Linked DNA regions of Danio rerio. The protein of the gene in region 1 purifies or fractionates together with the protein of each later gene. This does not show direct contact. Links are inferred from orthologs where the notes say so. Each region holds a gene or a part of one and is shown in the gene's direction. Other genes may lie near its edges. The genes, in order: zrsr2 and sf3b1.

The links.
Region 2: the proteins of zrsr2 (region 1) and sf3b1 purify together in Homo sapiens (affinity purification with mass spectrometry; 3 studies listed by BioGRID and IntAct, counting the BioPlex papers as one, with this or other methods). This does not show direct contact. The link is inferred for Danio rerio from reciprocal best matches to the Homo sapiens genes ZRSR2 and SF3B1.

Annotation. Positions count from the first base shown.
Region 1 is NC_133186.1:13,227,000-13,230,824, reverse strand, and holds part of zrsr2 (U2 small nuclear ribonucleoprotein auxiliary factor 35 kDa subunit-related protein 2), read left to right. Parts: intron 1-58; exon of another isoform or gene 59-102; intron 103-230; exon of another isoform or gene 231-292; coding exon 293-331; intron 332-416; coding exon 417-532; intron 533-1,702; coding exon 1,703-1,916; intron 1,917-2,101; coding exon 2,102-2,157; intron 2,158-2,247; coding exon 2,248-2,357; intron 2,358-3,825. UniProt on the Homo sapiens protein: Pre-mRNA-binding protein required for splicing of both U2- and U12-type introns. Selectively interacts with the 3'-splice site of U2- and U12-type pre-mRNAs and promotes different steps in U2 and U12 intron splicing.
Region 2 is NC_133184.1:33,850,444-33,854,268, reverse strand, and holds part of sf3b1 (splicing factor 3B subunit 1), read left to right. Parts: intron 1-1,106; exon of another isoform or gene 1,107-1,164; intron 1,165-1,712; exon of another isoform or gene 1,713-1,767; intron 1,768-2,065; coding exon 2,066-2,145; intron 2,146-2,241; coding exon 2,242-2,427; intron 2,428-2,914; coding exon 2,915-3,164; intron 3,165-3,248; coding exon 3,249-3,461; intron 3,462-3,556; coding exon 3,557-3,678; intron 3,679-3,783; coding exon 3,784-3,825. UniProt on the Homo sapiens protein: Component of the 17S U2 SnRNP complex of the spliceosome, a large ribonucleoprotein complex that removes introns from transcribed pre-mRNAs.

The DNA of each region.
Region 1 (3,825 bases):
ATGTACATTGTGTGAATTTATGCAAAATTTTGTCTTCGTTTCCTTAACTAAGATTCACAAAAATGCTATATATGAAGCAAGTGTCGACTCCCAATGAAGAACGTATCTTTTCATGTCATTTGTAGTAATGAGATTGCTTACTGATTCCACAGCAGAGAACATATTCGCTGTAAAATATTACAAAATGCTGTACAAATGATCTGCCAGATTGTCTTAACCAGTTCTAACAGACATGTACTTGCACACCACAGAATTTCACCCGCCATACTGTGTATGTTTGCACCATTTATAGGAAGCAGTACAGAAAATGCTGGATCAAGCAGAGAGTCAGGTAACTTCTTGATTCTTGTTATGATAAAAAAATGCAAGTTTTGTATTTGCTCTTCTCATGAAAAGCTATCTTTTGTTGCATTTAGCTGGAAAATGGGGGACCCTGGAAAAACCCAGATGCTCCAAAGGATTACGGAACTGAAAAGGACAAGGCAAACTGTCCATTCTTCCTAAAAACTGGTGCTTGTAGATTTGGAGACCGGTAATTATTTATTACACGACTATATCACAAAGTGTTGACAGTCGAAATGAAATTTCCTGGTCAGGATTATGACGGATAGTTCACCCAAAAATGAAAGTGGTTCTTTATTCTGTTGAACACAAAAAATAATATTTTGAAGAAAGCTGAATTCTTATAACCATTGACTTCCATAGTATTACGTTTTCATACTATGGAAGTCAAAAGGTTTTCAGCTTTCTTCAAAATCTTTTTTTTGTGTGTTTGTTCAACAGAAAAAAGAAACTTAAACCAGTGTGGAACAAGTAAACAAGAGAATTTTCAGTTTTGGATAAATCCTGCAATAAATGTATTGTTCATTCATGTTAGTAAATACATTATGTAACGTTAACTAATGGAAACCTTTTGAAAAGTGTTGCTCAATAGCCTCCCTCACAAGTTCTAATCTAATGACAAACTTTCTAATGTAATATAGCAGTGTTTCTCAACTGGTGGGTCGGGTCGCGGGATCATTTTCAGTGGGTCGCGGAGTGTGTGGAAAAAAAAAAACAACAAAAATAAAGTTTTTAACTTATTTTGACTTTTATTTTGAAATGCGTGCATGATAACCCTATCGTTTGACGTGAAATTTCATTTAAATATAGCAACAAATATGTCAAAAATACATATATTGAGGACAAAAAAGACTTAAAGCCTCAGTGTGTCATAAGTAGCGAGGTGCTCTCACAAGAGAGCATGAAACCTTTTAAATTAAGATGACGTTTAGAAACCAGAAATTTTTTATTAACAGTTTAGTTTAGTTCATGGTAACTGAACCTTTCCTTACCCTAACCACAGTATTTGTCGTTTTTACTTTGTAATATTTCTATAATTTGATCCATTTTGTTAAATGAAAGCAAAATATTGTTTATTTGTAAGCCTTTGTGATTTTCTTATGATTTATCTGTCACTACATGTGTATTTTAACAAATAATTAAAAATTAATTATAATTCCTAAAATTGTATTATAGTTCCTAAAAATTTGGTTCGTGGCTTGATGACCATGTAAAAATTTGGGTTCCATGGTCAAACCAGTTGAGAACCCCTGTAATATAGCACAAACACCTATTTGTCATTGTAATAATATACAATACTAGTTTTAGGGGAACTATCCGTTTAAGATGATGACTTTTTTTAATACTCTTTAATAAACAGGTGCTCTCGAAAACATGACCACCCAGCATCCAGCTGCACTCTGATGGTGAGGGGGATGTTTGTGTCATTCGGGATGGAGCAGAGCAGACGTGATGACTACGACACCGATGCCAGTCTGGAGTACAGTGAGGAGGAGTTGCACCAGCAGTTTCTGGATTTCTATGAAGACGCTCTGCCAGAGTTCAAGAACGCAGGGAGAGTGGTGCAGTTCAAGGTAACTCAAATAAAAGCCTGAAAAACCTTCAACAAATAAAATCTCTCTTTATTTAGATGTTTCTTTAGATTTATCTCGTATGAAAGTCGTATTTTTTATTCTATCAGCTGCAGAAATGTAAATAAATATGTATATTTTTGTAAAATTAAATTGACAATGATTATTATTTGGCCATATTTTAATAGGTGAGCTGCAACTTTGAGCCTCACTTAAGAGGAAACGTTTACGTTCAGTATGAGACGTAAGTTCAGCATTATTATTTTGGAGATTTTTTTTGACAGCAGATTTATAAATGTACGTATATTTGGATATCTTTGTTTATATCCTGCAGAGAGGAGCAATGCAAAGAAGCTTTTGTGATGTTTAATGGTCGCTGGTATGCTGGAAGACAACTGCAATGTGAATTCTCCCCTGTGACTAGATGGAAAACGGCCATATGTGGTAAGGAAAATATTAGTAAGTCACACTTACAATAAGGTTCCATTAGTTAATGTATTTACATGAATTTACATAAAAACATGAATATTAAACAATATTTAGGCATTTATTAATTGTAGTTTGTGTTGAATTCAACATTTTATGACTCGTTTCCACTGATTGGTACAGTACGGTACGGTTTAGGTCGGTACGGGTCATCTTTATCAGGCTTGCGTTTACACTAAAAAGGGTACCCTTTTGGTGGGTGTGGTGTATGACAGTTTCAGTCGATGTAATTTTCGCTCGAGAAAATGTCTATAATACAGCTGAACAGGTCGTTCACGAATCATATGAAAGCAGACGCTTTTTACACATAAATACTTGTGTATAAATGTTTATTGCTAACTTTTCTATAAACAGGATTTGATCAATGACAGTGCGAAATAGCCTACTGTAACGTCTGCAATTATATTAAATAAATAAATGCCACATATATGAACACATACAGCCCCTTACAGTCTCCGAAATGTTACCAACTACAGAAGAACTACACACAGCAGACATTTAGTGCTTATTTAGGTTCAAAAACAAAACAAAATATAGCCTACAGTCAGTGAAAACCTCTCATCAGTATCTTTAATCTCCAGCAGCACATGTAGCCTCTGTTAGATAGTAATTCCATGATTCCGAGGTTATATTAGTCCAAAAGGTAATGATAATAGTTAAACATGGCAGTTTGGTCACGTTTGCTGAAAAATGATGTGCTCCTTTTTTTCCGGCTTCACTCTCGCGTTTGTCAGTTTCTGACAGGATCGGGTTTAAAAAGCATGTCAATAATCAAGCACACGTTGTTATCATTAGCTCAAGAAGTTTGTTGTTTCAGATATAGATGTGTGGTGAGCGCAAGCAGGCAAGTGAAACCACTCACGGTTCAGACTGTCTCGTAAAAAAAACTACAGGGCACATGGTAAATCTGCTCTTTTTTTTTGGCATTGTGGCTGTGCATCAAAACAACGACAAGGTTTGTTTGAGCGCAGGTCGACCATGGCTCATTGTTTTATGTATATATACGTTCACGCTGTAACAAATCTCTCGGCTGTGTATTTTAAACATGTCGGCTCTTTTGTTTTTATTCTGGCTTGTTGAGTAAACGAATGACGTATCTCTGTAAACCAATAGCGTTCAGCTGCGCGTCTAGTGGCTCGTTTCCACTGACTGGTACAGTACAGTACAGGTCACCTTTATCAGGCATGCGTTTCCACCACAAAGGGTACCCTTTTTGGTGGGTGTGGTGTATGACAAAGTTTAAGTCGACATCATGCTTGCTCGAATAAATGTCTACAGTAAGGCTGTACGGGTCGTTCACATATCATGAGCAGCACTTCTCACAAAACAGATGTTTTATACACATAAATACTTGTTTATAAATGTTTATCACTAACTTTTCTATGGACAGGAGTTGATTATAACTGCAGATCAATGACTGTGCAAA
Region 2 (3,825 bases), on another chromosome or scaffold:
GTATTAAACGTGACAAACAACAGTGCCAGTGTTGCAACTTCAAACGAACTTAAGATTTTATTCGAAAGTAGTTTTGAGTTCTTTGTTCTTCAATTTCATTTAAGCAATATCAGGGCCTTAAAGGGATAGTTCACGCCAAAATGAAAACTTTCTTACTATTTACTCACCCTCAAGAGGTTTCAAAGATTTTTTTTCTCTAGAACACACAAGATGATATTTTGAAGAAAGCTGAGAATCTGTAACCATTGACTTCCATAGTTGGAAAAACAAACACTATGTAAGTCAAGGGTTGCAGGTTTCTAATGTTTTTCAAAATAAAGGTTTGAAACAAGTCATTCAAAACATAATTTTTGGGTGAAATATCCCTTTTAAGACTGTCTCAGTAAGGCATAAGTGGATAAATGAAATGTACTGAAAAATATTGATGATGGATTTATATGTGTACTTGTTTAAGTTGGGCAGCAAAGATTTTGGGAGACGGTTGGGTGGTGTCATTGGTCCCATCATGGCATAGGTTGCAGGTAGGTGTGTTGTTCGAAGGGTTAATGTTTTTAATGTGTGAAACAGATGATACAGTAGTCAGGCAACTTAAACACAGACACTGTGTAGTATATGAAAAGTTTCTAATTGCCAGAGACAGCATACTGTCAGATTTATTTTTCCCCCCATACTATTGCCTGCATATTTTTCAATGGTTAGACACCCCTGATGTGTCAATGTCAGTAATGATTCCCAATAAGAGTGGAGCTTTAAAGCCCTGTGAAGCCAAATTTAACTCCATTTATGTTGTCCAGATAATTTAGTATCTTAAAACCGATGGCCTGTGGGTGCTCATACCAGTACAATTTTACAAGAAGTTTAGATCATGTTTAAACAGGCTGCACACTCACAAAACTGACTCACTTGGGACCAAATTATGGGAGGGCAATAATTCTGGATCAGGCAAATCATCTTGCATGTAGTCCCAGACAGAGGAAGCTTTACAAAAACTGTTGTGTAAATATATTTCTATTTTATAATGATAAAATAGAGATATATCTATTGAAGAATCTGTGTACCAAGATTCCACAGGCCCATACTAACTGTCCTTAATTTCTCTCCTACAGCAGTACTGCTATGCCAGTCCTGTCTGCACTCTCTTAAGGGTGCAGCAACTCGTCCTGTGTAGGTTATGGTCAACAAAAAGAAGCGTGTTTATCAGATAAATCAAGACCATAGTTAGTAGTTTTTGCTCTGATGTGAGGCCAGAGAGCCTTTCGGGGGAATGCACCATGATTTCATCAAGCTATTTTATTGATTTAGTTTTACTTTTGTTATGTTTCACATTATTTTTAAAGCCTCATCGGGGACTTTTTTTAAATTCCATATTCACTTTTTTCATTTCAACTTACTTTTAGACAAATTCATCTTAGTTTAAATTTTATTTAATCTAACCAGATGCACACAAGTGTGCTTTAAGTCATTGATTAGTTTCTGATATTTTGTTTCTTTTCTGATTTGATTAGAACTCCCCAATGTGTTCAGTGTCTTTGACTGTAACACCTATAGTTTATTAAATGTATATGATTTTTAAGTCGGTTTTTGAATACTACATGGTTTTCCCCTTTTCTTGTTTGTAAATGAGTGACGAGCAGAATAGGTGGTATGCTATTTTGTGTGTGAGTACAAACCCTTTTCCAAAGTGTTACTAATGGTAAAGAGAAATTTTCTAGGCTTCTTTTCTGCCGGTTGAAGTCTGACTGCAGAGGGACCCTTGGCACTGAAAGTGTACGTATTCTGGAGAGCACAGCCCAGGACCCTGCATCAGTGATGGCTATATCCTCTCCTTATCTCCTCTTAAAAGCAACAGAAACCTCTTTGTACCTGCCTGTTCTTAATGTTTGACTGTAATGAGTGCTTAGCTTTTATTGCATAGGGTTCTTTTGTGTTATGAGAGGACAGTAATTTAAACATTAAAGGCCATCTATTCAGGGACACTTGACTGTAGTGCTTTGTGTGTGAAAATGCTGGTTTTGAGATGCACTTGGCTGACCGTTTCGCATCTTGTTGGTGCTCTTTCGCCTAGGGGGTAAAACACCGGATCCCAAGGTGCAGGTCAGGACGTACATGGATGTTATGAAGGAGCAGCAACTTTCCAAAGAAGAGGTAAGTTCTAGCACTTTGGTGAAATGTCTGTAAGATGCTACTGAAAAAAAAAAGTCACAAGTGTCTTAAACTGTCACTGTTTCTCTTGGTTTACAGAGAGAGATCAGACTACAGATGGTAGAGAAAGCAAAAGCTGGAGAGCTGAAAGCAGTGAATGGCTCCGCTGCATCTCAGGCCGCGGCCAAACGTAAACGTCGCTGGGACCAGACTGCTGATCAAACCCCCAGCAACTCAACACCCAAAAAAGTGTCCAGTTGGGACCAAGCAGACGGAGGTTCTGAAGTGAGTCGATAACAACATTTGGTCTGCAGCAAATGGATATTTTGATTGTTCAGATTTTCATGAAAAATAATTACAAATTCATACAAAGACAGATTTTATGTATCTGATCTGCTTGGAAGACTATGAAAAAGTCAATATTTAAGTAGATGCTGATATACAAAAAAGTAAATGTGTAAATATCCTATAATACAAAAAAAAAACTATTGCTTTTTATTTGTGTAGTATAATTCGAAATTATAGTATAATTCAAAAAGTTGTTTAGGAAAAGTCTTGAGGACCCTACGGGACCCATGTTCTCCAGTGAGGAAAACTATTGTTTAGGGGTGAATTTCTCTAGTAAAGTAATGATCAGGCCCCTTTGGATGTTTGTAGAATCCCCCTAATTTGTCTGTGTCCTCCTGATTAAGAGCCATGGATTAGAAATAAAGCATTACAATGCCACTTAAGAATTTTTATAATGCTGTGAGATTTTTATTTTGTTACTTAGACACCAGGACACACACCAGGGCACACACCCTCCAACAGTCGTTGGGATGAGACCCCTGGCCGTCCCAAAGGTAGTGAAACCCCAGGAGCCACTCCTAGCACTCGTATGTGGGAACCCACACCTAGCCACACCCCAGCAGGAGCTGCCACACCAGGCCGAGACACACCTGGACATGCTACGCCAGGCCATGGAGGGGCCACTTCCAGTGTGCGCAAGAACCGCTGGGATGAGACACCAAAGACAGAGAGAGGTCTTTAATAGTTTTTTTTTGTCTAGTTTGATGTGTAATCTGCAAATAGAGTGGTTTTTAAACCCTTTGTTTTGTCCGTTTCAGAAACACCTGGTCATGGCAGTGGCTGGGCTGAAACCCCACGTACAGACAGAGGAGACGAGTCGGTGGGTGAGACGCCCACTCCAGGTGCAAGCAAGAGGAAGTCAAGATGGGATGAAACACCAGCCAGCCAAATGGGCTCTTCAACTCCCCTGCTCACCCCTGGAAAAACCCCTCTGGGTACACCTGCTATGAATATGGCCACGCCCACTCCAGGTACATGACCAGTGCTGTTGTTTAGCTTAGTTTAGTTTGTAATTTAAATAATTGTTGTTTTGTGGAAGTTGCTTTAAAGGTTTAAATGTTTGCAGGTCACCTGATGAGCATGACTCCAGAACAGCTGCAGGCTTGGCGGTGGGAGCGGGAGATTGATGAAAGGAACCGTCCATTGACTGATGAGGAACTTGATGCAATGTTTCCAGAGGGATACAAAGTATGTGTTATAAAAGTATCATATTATGAAAATCTACAGAGCACATTTGAACTGGATGTACTGAAATTGTGTGTCTGACTGGATTTATTTTGTGTGCTCCGCTAGGTTCTGCCCCCTCCAGCAGGCTATGTGCCCATCCGTACCCCT